2 linked regions of the Mytilus edulis genome follow. The protein of the gene in region 1 purifies or fractionates together with the protein of each later gene. This does not show direct contact. Links are inferred from orthologs where the notes say so. Each region holds a gene or a part of one and is shown on either strand. Other genes may lie near its edges.

Region 1 (6,928 bases):
AGAAAATAATTTCAAAAGTTTGACCCCCCCCCCCATCCCCCATAAAAAAAAGAATTCACAGTTGTGTTGAGGAGATAATGACCAGCTACATAGTAACCTGGCTTTGAGAAGCTCTAAGTATAACAAACAGCTTTTCTTCTTGTTTTTTTTTAAAAGGAATATCTGACACGTGCATGAAGAAAAATAGAAAAAAAAATATACAGAAAATTGTATGTTCCAATTTATTAATTTATTTTACTGCAACCTATAATTCTACAAATTTTATCAGTATACTGGTAGATAAACTTTCAATACTGACTGTTATTTTAATCCCAATCACAGGCCCTTGTATCTTATTTTTTTTAACCTTTGAACTTTAAAATAGCTAGTTATGAATGGGGGGGGGGGGGGGGGGGGGGGTTCAGGATTCCAATGTACAAATGATTTAGGAAGTGCAAATAAAATAACACCGATTAAATGGTTCTTGTCCTTTCTTGATTAAATATGTAAATGATTTATTTGAGATAAAGAAATTTATTCCATATTGGTATTATATTAGTAGGTTTCTCTATATGAATTGGATTTTGAATAAAACAGCATATTCACCCGAGAAAGTGTTATTCACCGCGCTAAACGTCACGCGCTTTTACATGCAACGTTACGGTTAAATGTTTCATGTAAAATTTGTTTTGGTATAGGTTATTCTTTAAATACATGTTCTTCTCTCGGAATATGGAATAAAACAATTACTGTCTTTTGTTTCGGTAAATATGGGGTTTAATTGACTTTTGAAAAACTGATATTCACTTCGGCCTTCGGCCTTAGTGAATATCATTTTTCAAAAGTCAATAAAACCGCATATTTACCTCATCAAAAGACAGTAATTGTATAATACAACCAAGCCAGGAACCTCTGGGCTTTCTTTGTTTTGTACAGATGTATGTTTTAAGAGTTTAGTGTGTTATCAATTTTCTCTGAACAAGTACACATTTTTGTTTAGGGGCCCCAGCTAATTATATTTGTTCTTTTTCCAAATTATATAGTGTATTGTTTAGTGTGTGTGAATACCATGGTGCCCATCAAGTTTTTTTTTTATTAAGGTCTGAAATCTGGATAGGAAAGAATATCGGAGAATGGATAAAATTTACAGAAAAATGGACCAAAAAATAAAATAAAAAAAGAACAGAGAACACTGGTGTTCAGATATGAATAAAAGGAGAAAAGGGCAAAAAATACTAATTAAAGTCATATGAAACGAGTGAGTGGTGAAAAATAAACTAAGTCCTCTGTGCACGATTTTATCATTATTTACGCAAATATATCGTATAATCGTCAATTTTTTTTTCTCTCTGTCTGTTATGATTTAACAAATATGGCTGCTCATTAAATGCCGTGTTTTGAAGCCGAAGTGGATTGTCACCTTATAGTAAATAAATAACAAAAAGCATGGGTATTGAGCACGTGTTTAAGATGTACAATCAGATAATTGTTTATTTTAATGACAGATTCATGCGTATTGCGATCACCGGATTTTTACGAGGAGGGTTACGCTCGGGTCACTATGCATACGGAAAATATGTCGGCGAATTGCTTCCTGGAAGCAAGCAATTTAAAATAAGTAAACTTCTTCTAAATGTGGACAAATTAAAGAATTTTCCTCAGAAAAAGTATATGTACAAAAGTTTTATAATGAAAACTATCCATTTAGTTATAAAAAACAGATGCATATTTTTTTTTAATTTGAGGTTTCATATGACTTTAACGAATAGAAAATTATTACCTGAAAAATTAAAGAATACAGAAGGGATATACCTATAATATCGAGATCATATTTTATTCTTAATCGATATCTTTGTAATAATTTCATAAAATAAGTATACCTATTACCACGTGACGGACATATAACTAAGTTAAACATGCATCCTTGCTTTCATCAAAATAATCATATGTACACACCATTTCATCTCAAGAATCACATCAAAATGATTTTTGTTAAACACTATCATGACTATAGAAAGTGAAGTATGCATGTCCAGAAACCTTTCCAACTCACTGTTTCCTGTGGTCAAAACTAGGGAGAAACGTTTCATAGAGTTGTTAATTTATTGATTATAAATTTACACAACTGTGATAAGGAGTGATCAGATTCACTGCCCTTGAGAAATTACGCATATTCTTCTGCATGGTGCTTTACAGTTTACACTATCAAAGATTTAATAAACAGACATTATTTCACAGATCGCACACTCACTTCAATTTTGTCAACAATTTATATACAAGTCAGACATAAGCACCTTTATTGAGTGACCCCCCTAGTTAAAATATTTTTTGATGGTAACCCCCCCAGTGGTATGATATTTTTGGCAATGACCCCCCCCTAAAATGCACCGACCCCCTCAGTTGATAAATAATGACTGTTCCCTTACATGAAATATATTGTCTCGTATTGTGTTTTTGACCATGTTACGTTTTTTTTAAAAGCAGGTGACGAATACTTTTGGCCAGGTACTGTAAGTCTGTAGTCCAAATAATTTTGACGTCTCGAAGTAAGGCGTCAAAGAAAAAAATTATAAAAACCTTTCAAGACGTCATTATTATTTGGACTAGTAAGTCTGTATCTTAATTATCTTGACATCCTGGATGCAAACCTGCACATTTGAGTCTGAGGTAAACAAGAATGTGAATTATTACAGATCTAAGTATAACAGTCGTTTGTAAGCAATGTAGACGGACCTTAAAAAATTATGCGTACAGTTACTATCGAAGTCATCATCTACATACAACATGAGGATACACAAATTTATAACACTTCATCAGTCACCAATCGTGTAATTGAGTCAGAGTACATATTGGACTGACTGCGTTTTCGCCATCAAACGCATCATTTTCTTAATTTATCATTACCGATTGTTCATACCAAAATGACTCTTTAACGTCTTATTTTTTCACATCATCTGTTTGTTTTTAAACACACATGAAAACAATAACAAAGTGCAGTGGAGGTCTACGATTGGTGAATATATATAACGAATCCTAAACAATCGAATCAGTCAATATTTTACGAAACGAAATCAAGCACTAACAGACTACGATTAAAATACCACGTCGAAGACACTGACATGTGAGCTGACATGGAAGTAATATTTAAATATTTTCAATATTACTACCATCATTAAAGTAAGATTAAAGGGTGTTTGAAATTGCCTGATATTTTGTCAATGGGGGACACATATTCGCCATTTTTACACATCTATTTAAAACCAAATAACTGCAGCTTTAAACAATATTTATCAAATCAAATTCATTATAGATAAATAGCAAACATTTCAAATGTGTAAAGAACTGATATTTAGGGCAATCAGTCAAAGAATTACTAGGAAATACTTCTTTGAAATATTTTTTTTCATTCAGGAAATTGGCTGAAAATCGTTGTCTGTTTTTCGGTCCTTTTCTGTAAGTGCCGAAATTTTGTCTTAGTTTAAAAAATACTAATATTTGTTATAATGATATAATTTACCGGCATATTTCTTCCATTTCACCCATCCTTTGAAGTTTTTGCACCTCAAAATCATAAAACGGCGAAATTGTGTCCCCGGCGAATATGAGCACCCCTCTCTATATCATTTAACTCCCTCAAAAAACCCTTATAATTTTCTGAAATTTTAAAACATTTCTCCAAATAGTGTGTTTCCCTCCTAATATAACTGATTCGGAAATACTATACTATACCATTTTAAACATAAATGATTGAACAATTAAAATAATCAAGTGCTTTTAAATATCATACAAATTGTTTCTATCCAGACGGCGACTATAAGTACGTAAAATTGCAATTTTCTCAACATTAACCCAGTTGAATTATACCAAATGTTGATGTAGTTGCTATGGTAACCAAGGACACATTTATACAAAACTAGACTTATTTTTCAAAGTTTCATACAACAGTCAACTAATATACATAAAATGAATAAAGTCTGCAGATAGTCGTGGCCAACCCATTTTGATGCTTTAATACAGAGAATGTCTCTGAAACTTTTGGCCATAACAGTTTAAAACGATTCCAATGTACAAACTTTTATTACTAAAACTGGTTTAATTTCAACTGGTTATCAACCCGTTTCGCTATAACCTCACCTGTGTTGAGGGGCCGCGTGAGTTATAGCTTCATGTATTGACTTGGCGTCCGTTATAAAAAAAAAAGATCTTCTCTGAAATTACTTGACCAAATTTTACCAATTGAATTTTCAAGATTAATCAACAAACATGACCACTGTGTGTTCGAATTTTTGTTTTTATCGCAAACGTTCAAGCAGCTAGAGCAAAACTTACCAGAGATGAAACACTTTGGGAAAACATGGAAGGAGATCGAGAAGAAGGCAAAAGGCAGGCAAATGTGACCCGTACTGGTTGAGGCCTTATGTGCTGACAGGCACAAAGAGGATCAGTGAGTGAGTTACCGAGTAAAACATTCAACAGGCCAATGTCTATCTACCTTGCATTTTTCAGAAAATTCATATTAGATCACGAAACTTGGTCCAGCAACATTTATCAGCAAATGATAAGATTTTGACCTACACAGCTTCCTTCATTTTGTTTATTTTTATATGTATATGAATATAATAATGAAAAACAGCAGGGTCACCAGGGTGTGAAAACTGCCATGTCATCTCAGTGAAATAAATACTAAGCATAGATCTAGAAATGGACAGATAATCATGACATTTGCAGAAAAAAAATCTCTCTTGTGTTCGATTTTTTTGCAGTTTTGTTTTGTTTTGCCTAAAAAATATTGACAAACAAAATGAATATAGTATTGAGGAATTTTTTGAACTTATGTTCAATACATTGGTTACTAGGATAATAATCTTATCACGTATTAATTGGGTAAAATATTTCAAAAAAGACGATGACTGTGAAAGTTTACGTGCGGTAGGTGCAACAGCATACCAACAGCTTATATGGCACGTCAGGGTGGAAGTTAAAAAGTGGATCAAAGTCCATAAAAATTTGATTTAAAACCTTTATCCGACCTTCAACAACGAGCAAAATCACATGATAACGAATACTAATTATAAAAATGTAAATGATTAAAAAATGTATACCTTCGGCCTGATTTTTACTACAACTTTGATAAATACAAACATCACTAGACTCTTTTACAAGTGAGGCAAAATATATTCGTTCAAGGCCCCAAGAAGCTCGATCCAAAAAAAAAAGAAGCTAAATCGTGCATTTTGAGCGTTTCCCAGACTCTTTCTTACTCTGAAAAGTATTTAATTTTTAGCTATTTTCAACAATGTTCTGGTCTCAAAGCAAATTATATAGAATCAATATGATTTAAGATATTTAGGTTTTAGGGAGAAACTCAAAAGACCGATATGTAGGATAAGGCAAAAATCGTTTTCCTCAAAATCATTAATACCGATTCAGTCTGTTCTTGTCTTGTATTATGTTTAGACTTTGGTGATTTTTTAGGACAACATTTTCATATAGTGACAGTCAAGGACGTATAACTAACAATATACGTCCTTGTGACAGTGAAGTATTAAAGTAATTTACTTTAAGTACCGCTCAAGTCGACACTGTATATATATATAGGGACCATCTTGGCTTTGTTTTATGGTATTAATGGTTCTTTCATGTTGAAGACACTCCAGCGACTATCAAGATGAAGAACAGGAAAAAAAAAATGACCATTGAAAATTTGTATTTTTCTATGTACTAGTATTGGGTTTGTGTTCGATTAAGTCCCGTATGCAAGTTTACTCAATACTCCTTTAGTTTTTATTACCGTATAAAGGGTCTGCACACGACTTAATGCAAGTTTAATCCTTCAATGCAAAAGGTCATATTGCAATACATTGTTTTTTTTCCAAATGATTTGATGCCATAGCTAATTTCAAATATTCTTACAATTTAATGATTCGAAGTTTTTTTTTAATAACTAGTAGACGAAAGGTATAATAAACGCAAGCTTAAAACAAAATTTCTAGATTTTCAAACAAAAATCAACACTTAGACTATAGTCATAAAGTAGGACAATAAATAAAAAAAGACAAACCCGGGTACAGATAAGACACATAACTGCAAACGATAGACCATATATTGAACACTGAAAACTTAAAGTTAATTAGAAACATTAGTCAAGAAAAACACACAGGCCGGTTTATCCCTTGAAAGCCAACATCCTTTGATCTACCGACAATTTACCTGTAAAATTATGTTGGCGTTTAAGGAATCGGTGCATTACGTTTGCGTGCATTACCATTACATTTGCGCGCAAAAATCATTACGTTTGCGCGCAGCTTTTGCTTACATTTGCGCGCATTTTTTGACAGGTAAAATCAGGTAAAATATTATACAGGTCATAATACTTATTATTTATTAATTTGTTCAATTATTTATAACGTAAATATTTAATCCCCAAATGCGCGCAAACGTAGTGCGCCCTAAGGATTTTTTTTTCTTTCTGCAGTGCCACATCATAAATACAAATGTACTAATGAGTTTTATACAATAGCGACATAAAATTACCAGAGTGATCTAAATTACAGATAGAGATTATAGTGTCAAGTTGACACTTCTAAAGACCAAAGACTAAAGGTTCACTCGATAGACGCAAATTTTAAACTTCAAAAATTAAGGTTAATCGAGCACATTTATTAAATAATTGATTTTTACTTATTTTTTAGTTAACACCGAGCTCATGAGGGTCTTAAATCTGATCTTATTGCTGTGTCCACAATTCTTTTTCTACGTATTTAGTGTATCGGTGTGAACAATTCCATGTTTATATCACATGACATTTCCGCGGGAAATTCTTCTATTGAGACCGTACGAATGGATGTGAATTTGGATTAATGCATATATATTGTGAAATAAAATTGTTGATGATCACATTTTCTACAACACAGTTAGATGTCAGGTTTGTACACATTTAGTCTCAACT
Region 2 (7,113 bases), on another chromosome or scaffold:
GGACAGCTTTCTCAATTTATTGGGAAAAAATAAAATAATGAAAGTTACTATAAATGTAAAGATTAAATGGGACATACAGGATAATTATAATTCATCATAAGCAAACACTTTGTCAATATCAATATTAATTTGACCATAATTGTATTAAATATCAAATTTTAAACCAATATTGCTAGTTATTTCTGGTATGTATTGATTGGCCAATTTATAAATCAGTATGCCTGATATTGGCTTTACTGACAAATACAGTAATTCTCTTATCACTATTTTGTATTCTCCTATTCATACATTTATGTTATATTAAAGAGTGGCAGCCAGAGTTTAATTTGATAGGTACATGTATTTTCTTATCTTAGTCTGAAATAACAATTTAAAAATTCTGTTTTTAGCTTTTAATAAGTCAATTCAATTCAATTAATATTTATAAGTCATTCAATTTCACATAATATTAGATTCACACAATTTGACATCGCAAGATCAAATGATTATCATTATGTTATACCTGCTTTAGAAAGATCAAAGAATCATCATTTGACATTGATCTTTAACCTACAAGCTGTACATTTCATACCGCTATCCTATTCTGCTTGCTTGTATTCAATTGAAAAAAGTTTGAAAACGATTGGACACAATAGAAAAGACGCTATTGAATGCTCTGCAATGCTTGCAAGAATTTCTATACTACTAGGGACCTTGACCATAAACCTAGGACCACACAATTTTAAAATAGGTGTTCCTTCAAAGTCACTGATTTAATTTTGAAGATTTTGGTGTATGTATATACCACTAAGTGCCTACAAGCCTTTTTAATGGTACCACAAGAAAACCTAAACCTAGTGCCTCTGATTTGATATTACATAATTAATACATGTTTATTTCATAAGTATTGTGTCATATAAGGTTACAGTAAGCGGTAATCTATACACCAACTACAGTACATACACACACCTTCAATCCATTGTGGGACTTTTGAATTCCATGTATGAATTTATGACCATCACATTAAATAAAGTTTCAAGCTCTAGAAAGATGGATAAAGATTGGCTTAGCATAATGATGCATACAAGAATGTTACTGAGGGTACAATTGTTTATATACTGATGGTAATATATAAGCATTATCAAATACCTTTCACACCAAGTAAGGGAATGCAGTGTATGAACACATGTTTTGTAAACCAAGCACACAAGAACTGCAAATACATCATATACATATATACTTACTGTGCCATTCTCATACCAAAGCATGGCATGATTTCTGGATAAAACTTTGCAATCAAATATGCCATTGTTGTTTGCCGGTCTAGCTCTTGCTACAGATCTGCCAATCTTGACTGGTTCATGAAGCGAAATATGTCGCTCACGAAATGGATGTGAATTTGGCTGACAGGACAAAATAGCCACTGCAGACATGGCTGACTTATGCTAACCTCTTCCTTTATCCTAAAATTATACAAGATATAATAGAGCCTGAACTGAGAAAACTTCATTTTTTTTAATTCTTATACCGGTAATAGTTAATCTTCTATCTTCTTCTGTATAGGACCAATTGAGCAACTAATGTATTGTATATTTATTCTCAGAAGTCCTTAATATTGCATGGAATACTTGCCACTGAGTATTGAGAAGAAAACAAGTTATCAAACAATATCAACAGATTTTAAAGATTTAAGTGTATGGTAATTTATACAGTGTGTACTTCATCTTAGAAAATGAAAAAGAATTATCATTGATTCAAGTTTATTTCAATGTACAATACAATGTAGACATTAGAAAATAGTTTTAGAGAATTTCTTCTCGTTTTTCTGGGGTTTTTTTTAATTATTTTTGCAAACATTTCTCTACAATTTTAGGCAATTAGTGGTCAACAAATTAATAATAAACCAGATTCAATAACAAATTAAATGAATATGGATAATAATGTTTATAAAATTTCTTGCCTAGCCTACCAAAACAAGGCGTAGATTGAAAATTTTAATCCGAACCTTTTGATACTCTACTACAAGAAGAAGTTCGGCTGCTCAGAGTTTTATTTACTCATATTTGTACAAACATTGTTTTTAATTTTTATTTTCATTGGGTGCCAATGTTTGTTTATATAACTATTTCAAGATTTTTCACAGTATTTATCAATCATAACAATATCAAATAAGGTAACAGATCACAAGGGTAATATAATTTAGTATTTCAGAGGTGGTTACAATCAGTTAAGCATTTCACTAGACAAAATTAAAACAAAAGCGTGTATAAAGCTAGTTTACATTCTTTTTTTAAGACAAGAAAGATAAAAAATATTATATCTCAAGGTTAAAAGTTGAATTTTTAAATGATGTTGACATATTAAAAATACGTTGATAACAATCTTAGAGCAATAATTTTCAATTAACTTTTCATATTTAAAAAAATATTTTCAGGATAATTACTGCTACATTGACACTGGAAAAATTATGAATTGCGGGGAAACGCTGTTCTACAGAGAGGCAAAAGATTTGCAACGTCACAGATGTGAAACGTCAAGATGCTTTTTAAACAACAAAACAAGAAAAAAACTCAGCAGCAAGAAGTTAAATAACAACACATTTTGGTGTTGACAAAAAAGACAGTATTCACTTCCCTCAGTTCCCAGAAAGAAAATATTTCTGGACAGTAATACCATCACATCTTTCTATATAATTCAAGCAAAACCTAAACAGGAATACATTAGGAACATGTTTATTAGTCATTCTAACTGAAAATATTTGTTATTGAAATTATACTGAATAGTCTGAGTTATAGGGAAGCACCTTACCATAACATTTCGTGTAAGGGTTTATTTCACCAGTTCGAGACAATAATAATAGATGTATCATGTTGAAACTAAATATTTATTCACCTATGTTCATTATTTATCTATCTAAAATTTCTAAAAACAACTAAAACATATCGAAATAAACTGATATCTTACCATTCATTTTCTTCTTTCCTTTCAGGAGACTGCAGCCATCTTAAAATTTTAGTGTGATTTAATCTCTAAAGAATATTATTCTTATAATCTTTGTAAAAGTAAATTATTAATACTAGGTTATACAAAATAAATATAAATTATTAGTCTTTTAGTAATTTTTTAATGAAACAGAAGAACTTAAAATAATTGATTTTTGATTCGAGACTAACAACAATAAAGGTGAAGGACACCTGCCGAAAATGGCAGGAACGAAAGAAGAACCTGTTTTCCATCGAGAAAAATCGCCAGATGATGGCCCACAGTCACCCACTATGTTACCATGGGACAGATTTTCAAATTGGTTATATTGTGCTTGTGTTGTTACGTTTGACCTAGAATTAGGTCAGGCCATGGAGGTATGGGAAACCCAGTATCGTTGGACTTTTCGATTTATAAATACAGCTGCTGATAGAAAAAAAATAAACATTAGTACCGATTTCAGTGAACTCGATGCTCGATTGTATGTGTTTATAATCCTCCTTTCTCAGTAACACCATCGTGAGAATAGCGAACATACTTGAAAGGAAAAATATTTAACTCATTGACACTGTATTTGCACTAAATAAACAAAGAAAAATTGTAAAAATTGATAAAATAACAAATATTTAACATAACAAAACTATGACAAACTATGATTAACCATTTAGTTTTAATGCATTACATAATAAAAAATAAATAAATAAGATTTATTTAGAGTTGGCAAGGTATACAAAGTTGAAACATAGACAAAATAAGCTGTAATGAGCTTTTAACTGACATATGAAACATTTTTAACAATACAACATCTATAACAATACAACACATAATACACATGCAATAAATTTCACAGCACAAAAATGAAGCACTAAAAGCAGAATATAAGCATAAGCTAGGTATTAAAGCTATAAGCATATAGGTGTAAACTAGGCATAAAAGCTGGCAAAATGTATAGCATAAAATATTTAAAACAGGGTATGATCTACATGTAGATGACAGATCTGCACAAACTGTGTACTTACAGTCATTTCCCTTCCATGACTTCAAAATATTTTGGAACTGACTAAAATTAGCAATTTTTCTAAAATCATCAGGTAGATCATTCCATAAAACAGCAGCTGTGTATTTAAAAGAATTCTTACCATAGGTTGATGTTCGGACCCTAGGTATATCTACAATATTAGAATATCTAAAATTATATTTACAATCTTTCAATACAACTTTTAAAACACTCAATAGCCATGTTACGCATACATTTGTACGTCTTATTTTCAGTGATGGAACCTTTGCTTGTAAAAGTAGTCCATCATATGAACATAGTCTTCATATATAAATCGTAAAGCCCTTTCCTGAATTTTTTCCAATTTGGTGGTGTTATTTTTGTTGCAAAAATGCCATGCCAAAGGACAAAAAATAAATGTGTGGAAAATGGTCAATTTATTCAATTTTGTAATTTAGCAGCCAATGCGCTTTAAAACATTCAGTTGTTGGGATGCTTTACAACAAATATTTTTAATGTGGTGATTAAAATTAAGTTGATAGTCAATATCAATACCTGAAAGTTTGACAATCTCATTACAGGATATTTTTGCTGACTGTATATTAAAAACAGGCTTTTTTGCAAATGTTTTATTTCCAACTGCAATGGCTTGGAATTTATCAGGATTTGCCTGCATACAATTAAATCTAAACCAGTCAATTAAAACAGCATTTTCTCTTTCAAGTGTACATAATAAATTTTCAAAATTGTTGTCAGCATATGACAGAGTATTATCATCGGCATAATTATACAGGGTACCATGTTCAATAAAATAGAATATGTCATTTATAAAAATATTAAATAATAGGGCCCCAGGATTGAGCCTTGGGGTACCCGTTTCTGGATGTCAGTCCAACTGCTGAGTACTCCCTGAAGTTTGATTTGTTGCCTATGATCTGTAAGATAATTTTGAAGTAATTTCACTGATTTAGAAGAAAGACCATAGGCAGATAATTTACTTAAAAGAATATCATGTGGTAAACAGTCAAAAGCTTTCGAAAGATCCATTAGAAAAGCTGCCACATACATATTTTTATCCAAAGCTGTTTTCAAATCTTCAAGAATCTCAACAAAGTTGTCTGACATCAATGGCCTTTTCTGAATGCACATAAAAAAGCATGAAATATATTTTCAAAAAATTCACAAATTTGATTTTTTTACCAGGCATGTGCTGGAAAGCAAACATCAGTATGTGTTGTGGTTTTCTGAAACTGAAGAAGACTTTCAAATTTGTGCACTTTCTGTAAATTTTGTCACAATGATTAAATTATCGTAAGTCTGTTCGCTCCCTTAAACATTCACCTCCTGGGTTTGTTTGCACAAAATTAATATTCAAATGCAGTTAATTACTAGAGGAGGTTTCAGCCACACAGCCTTATTGGCCACAGTTGTTTTGGCTATACCCCTAATTCAGTTAATTACTAGAGGAGGTTTCAGCCACACAGCCTTATTGGCCACAGTTGTTTTGGCTATACCCCTAATTCAGTTAATTACTAGAGGAGGTTTCAGCCACACAGCCTTATTGGCCACAGTTGTTTTGGCTATACCCCTAATTCAGTAACACTTAGCTAATGGTTCTGCCATGGGTTTTTATGCCCCACCTACGATAGTAGAGGGGCATTATGTTTTCTGGTCTGTGCGTCTGTCCGTTCGTCCGTCCGTCTGTCCCGCTTCAGGTTAAAGTTTTTGGTCAAGGTAGTTTTTGATGAAGTTTAAGTCCAATCGACTTCAAACTTAGTACACATGTCCCCTATGATATGATCTTTCTAATTTTAATGCCAAATTAGAGTTTTTACCCCAATTTCACAGTCCACTGAACATGGAAAATGATAGTGCGAGTGGGGCATTCGTGTACTGAGGACACATTCTTGTTTTTATTGTTATAAAGGGAGGAAGATATAATTGAATAATTACATTAGATGTATGTTTCATTATAATATTTTATTCTGATTGGCTAACTGCACATCACGTGTTATTCCGTAAGCAGTTGCAATGCTCAATACAACTTTTCATTCATGATAACATGTGCTCCAACAATAAAGTGCACAGGTGAATTAAATAATAAAATATATAAAATTCGTGTTTTCATAATCATAGCTAAAAAATGTAATTATAAGTATTGAATGCTTCTTTTTGTAACTTTATAGGGTTGTAAAAGCGTTGACCGTGCGTACATTTTTAGAATGAAGCGCGGATTGACTGTGCGTACATTTTTAGAATGAAGCGCCTCCGCGCTTCATACAAAATGTACTTCCGTCAACGCTTTTACACCCCAATAAATTTACAAAAAGAAGCATTCAATTCTTAATTATTAAATCAGGAAAAAGTCATGAACTGATAGCAAGTTTGTAAAGTGTATCAGATTCTACTGATGAAAGCTCAAGTTGGAGCTAATATGTTTAGATAACTCATGTCAGTACACCATTTCTATATTGCCTACTGGATTGCTAATTTGTAATTCATGAACATTTTTAAATTATTTTACAGCCATTGCTATGCCGATGAGAAACTTCATATTGTTGATGGTTAGGCCACACCAATTTGATTCCTTGTTCGACGGACCCGCCCGCACCTATTTTTTTCAAAACAGAATTTTTTTATTTTTTTTATATTCCCGCTTCCCGCATCTGGAAATGTAATCTTGTCCATATGAATATTTGTTTCAGCATGAAACCTATTTATCCAAAGCGGGAGTGCTCCATAATAAATTTATAAGAGCAGAAATACCTGTAAAGAACAAAAAATTGGTTACTTTCCCCCTTACTTATATTCCCTATCAAAAAAATTTCGTTGTTAGAATAAAGTACAAAGAACTTCTGACGGATTTGCCTTCAACTGCAATTATATTGTATGCTGGCGAAACAAAACTATCCATAACCGCTGCATGTTTATGCACCTGTCCTGATTGATCGAGGGGCCTGTCGTTCAGCAGTTATCGTTTGTTGATGTTGTTCATTGGTATTTTCCCGTTTGGATATACATGATATATAAATTAGATCGTTGGTTTTCCTGTTTGAATTGTGTACGCTAATAATTTTGGGATCCTTTATAGCCTGCTGTTTGGTCTGTATCAAAGCCCTGTGTAAAAGGCCGTACTTTGACCTGTGTTTGTTATT

What was found. Proteins that work in one complex are often made in the same cells at the same time.
Region 2: the proteins of ubiquitin thioesterase Zranb1-like (region 1) and sarcolemmal membrane-associated protein-like purify together in Homo sapiens (affinity purification with mass spectrometry; 3 studies listed by BioGRID and IntAct, with this or other methods). This does not show direct contact. The link is inferred for Mytilus edulis from reciprocal best matches to the Homo sapiens genes ZRANB1 and SLMAP.

The regions. Positions count from the first base shown.
Region 1 is NC_092347.1:53,331,687-53,338,614, forward strand, and holds the start of ubiquitin thioesterase Zranb1-like, read right to left. Parts: upstream 3,028-6,928; 5' UTR 2,897-3,027; exon of another isoform or gene 2,884-2,896; intron 1-2,883. UniProt on the Homo sapiens protein: Ubiquitin thioesterase, which specifically hydrolyzes 'Lys-29'-linked and 'Lys-33'-linked diubiquitin. Also cleaves 'Lys-63'-linked chains, but with 40-fold less efficiency compared to 'Lys-29'-linked ones.
Region 2 is NC_092344.1:98,980,916-98,988,028, forward strand, and holds the start of sarcolemmal membrane-associated protein-like, read right to left. Parts: upstream 3,018-7,113; 5' UTR 2,944-3,017; intron 1,443-2,943; 5' UTR 1,413-1,442; coding exon 1,224-1,412; intron 1-1,223. Other genes in the region: protein DENND6A-like, read left to right, coding at 3,183-3,338. UniProt on the Homo sapiens protein: Associates with the striatin-interacting phosphatase and kinase (STRIPAK) core complex, forming the extended (SIKE1:SLMAP)STRIPAK complex.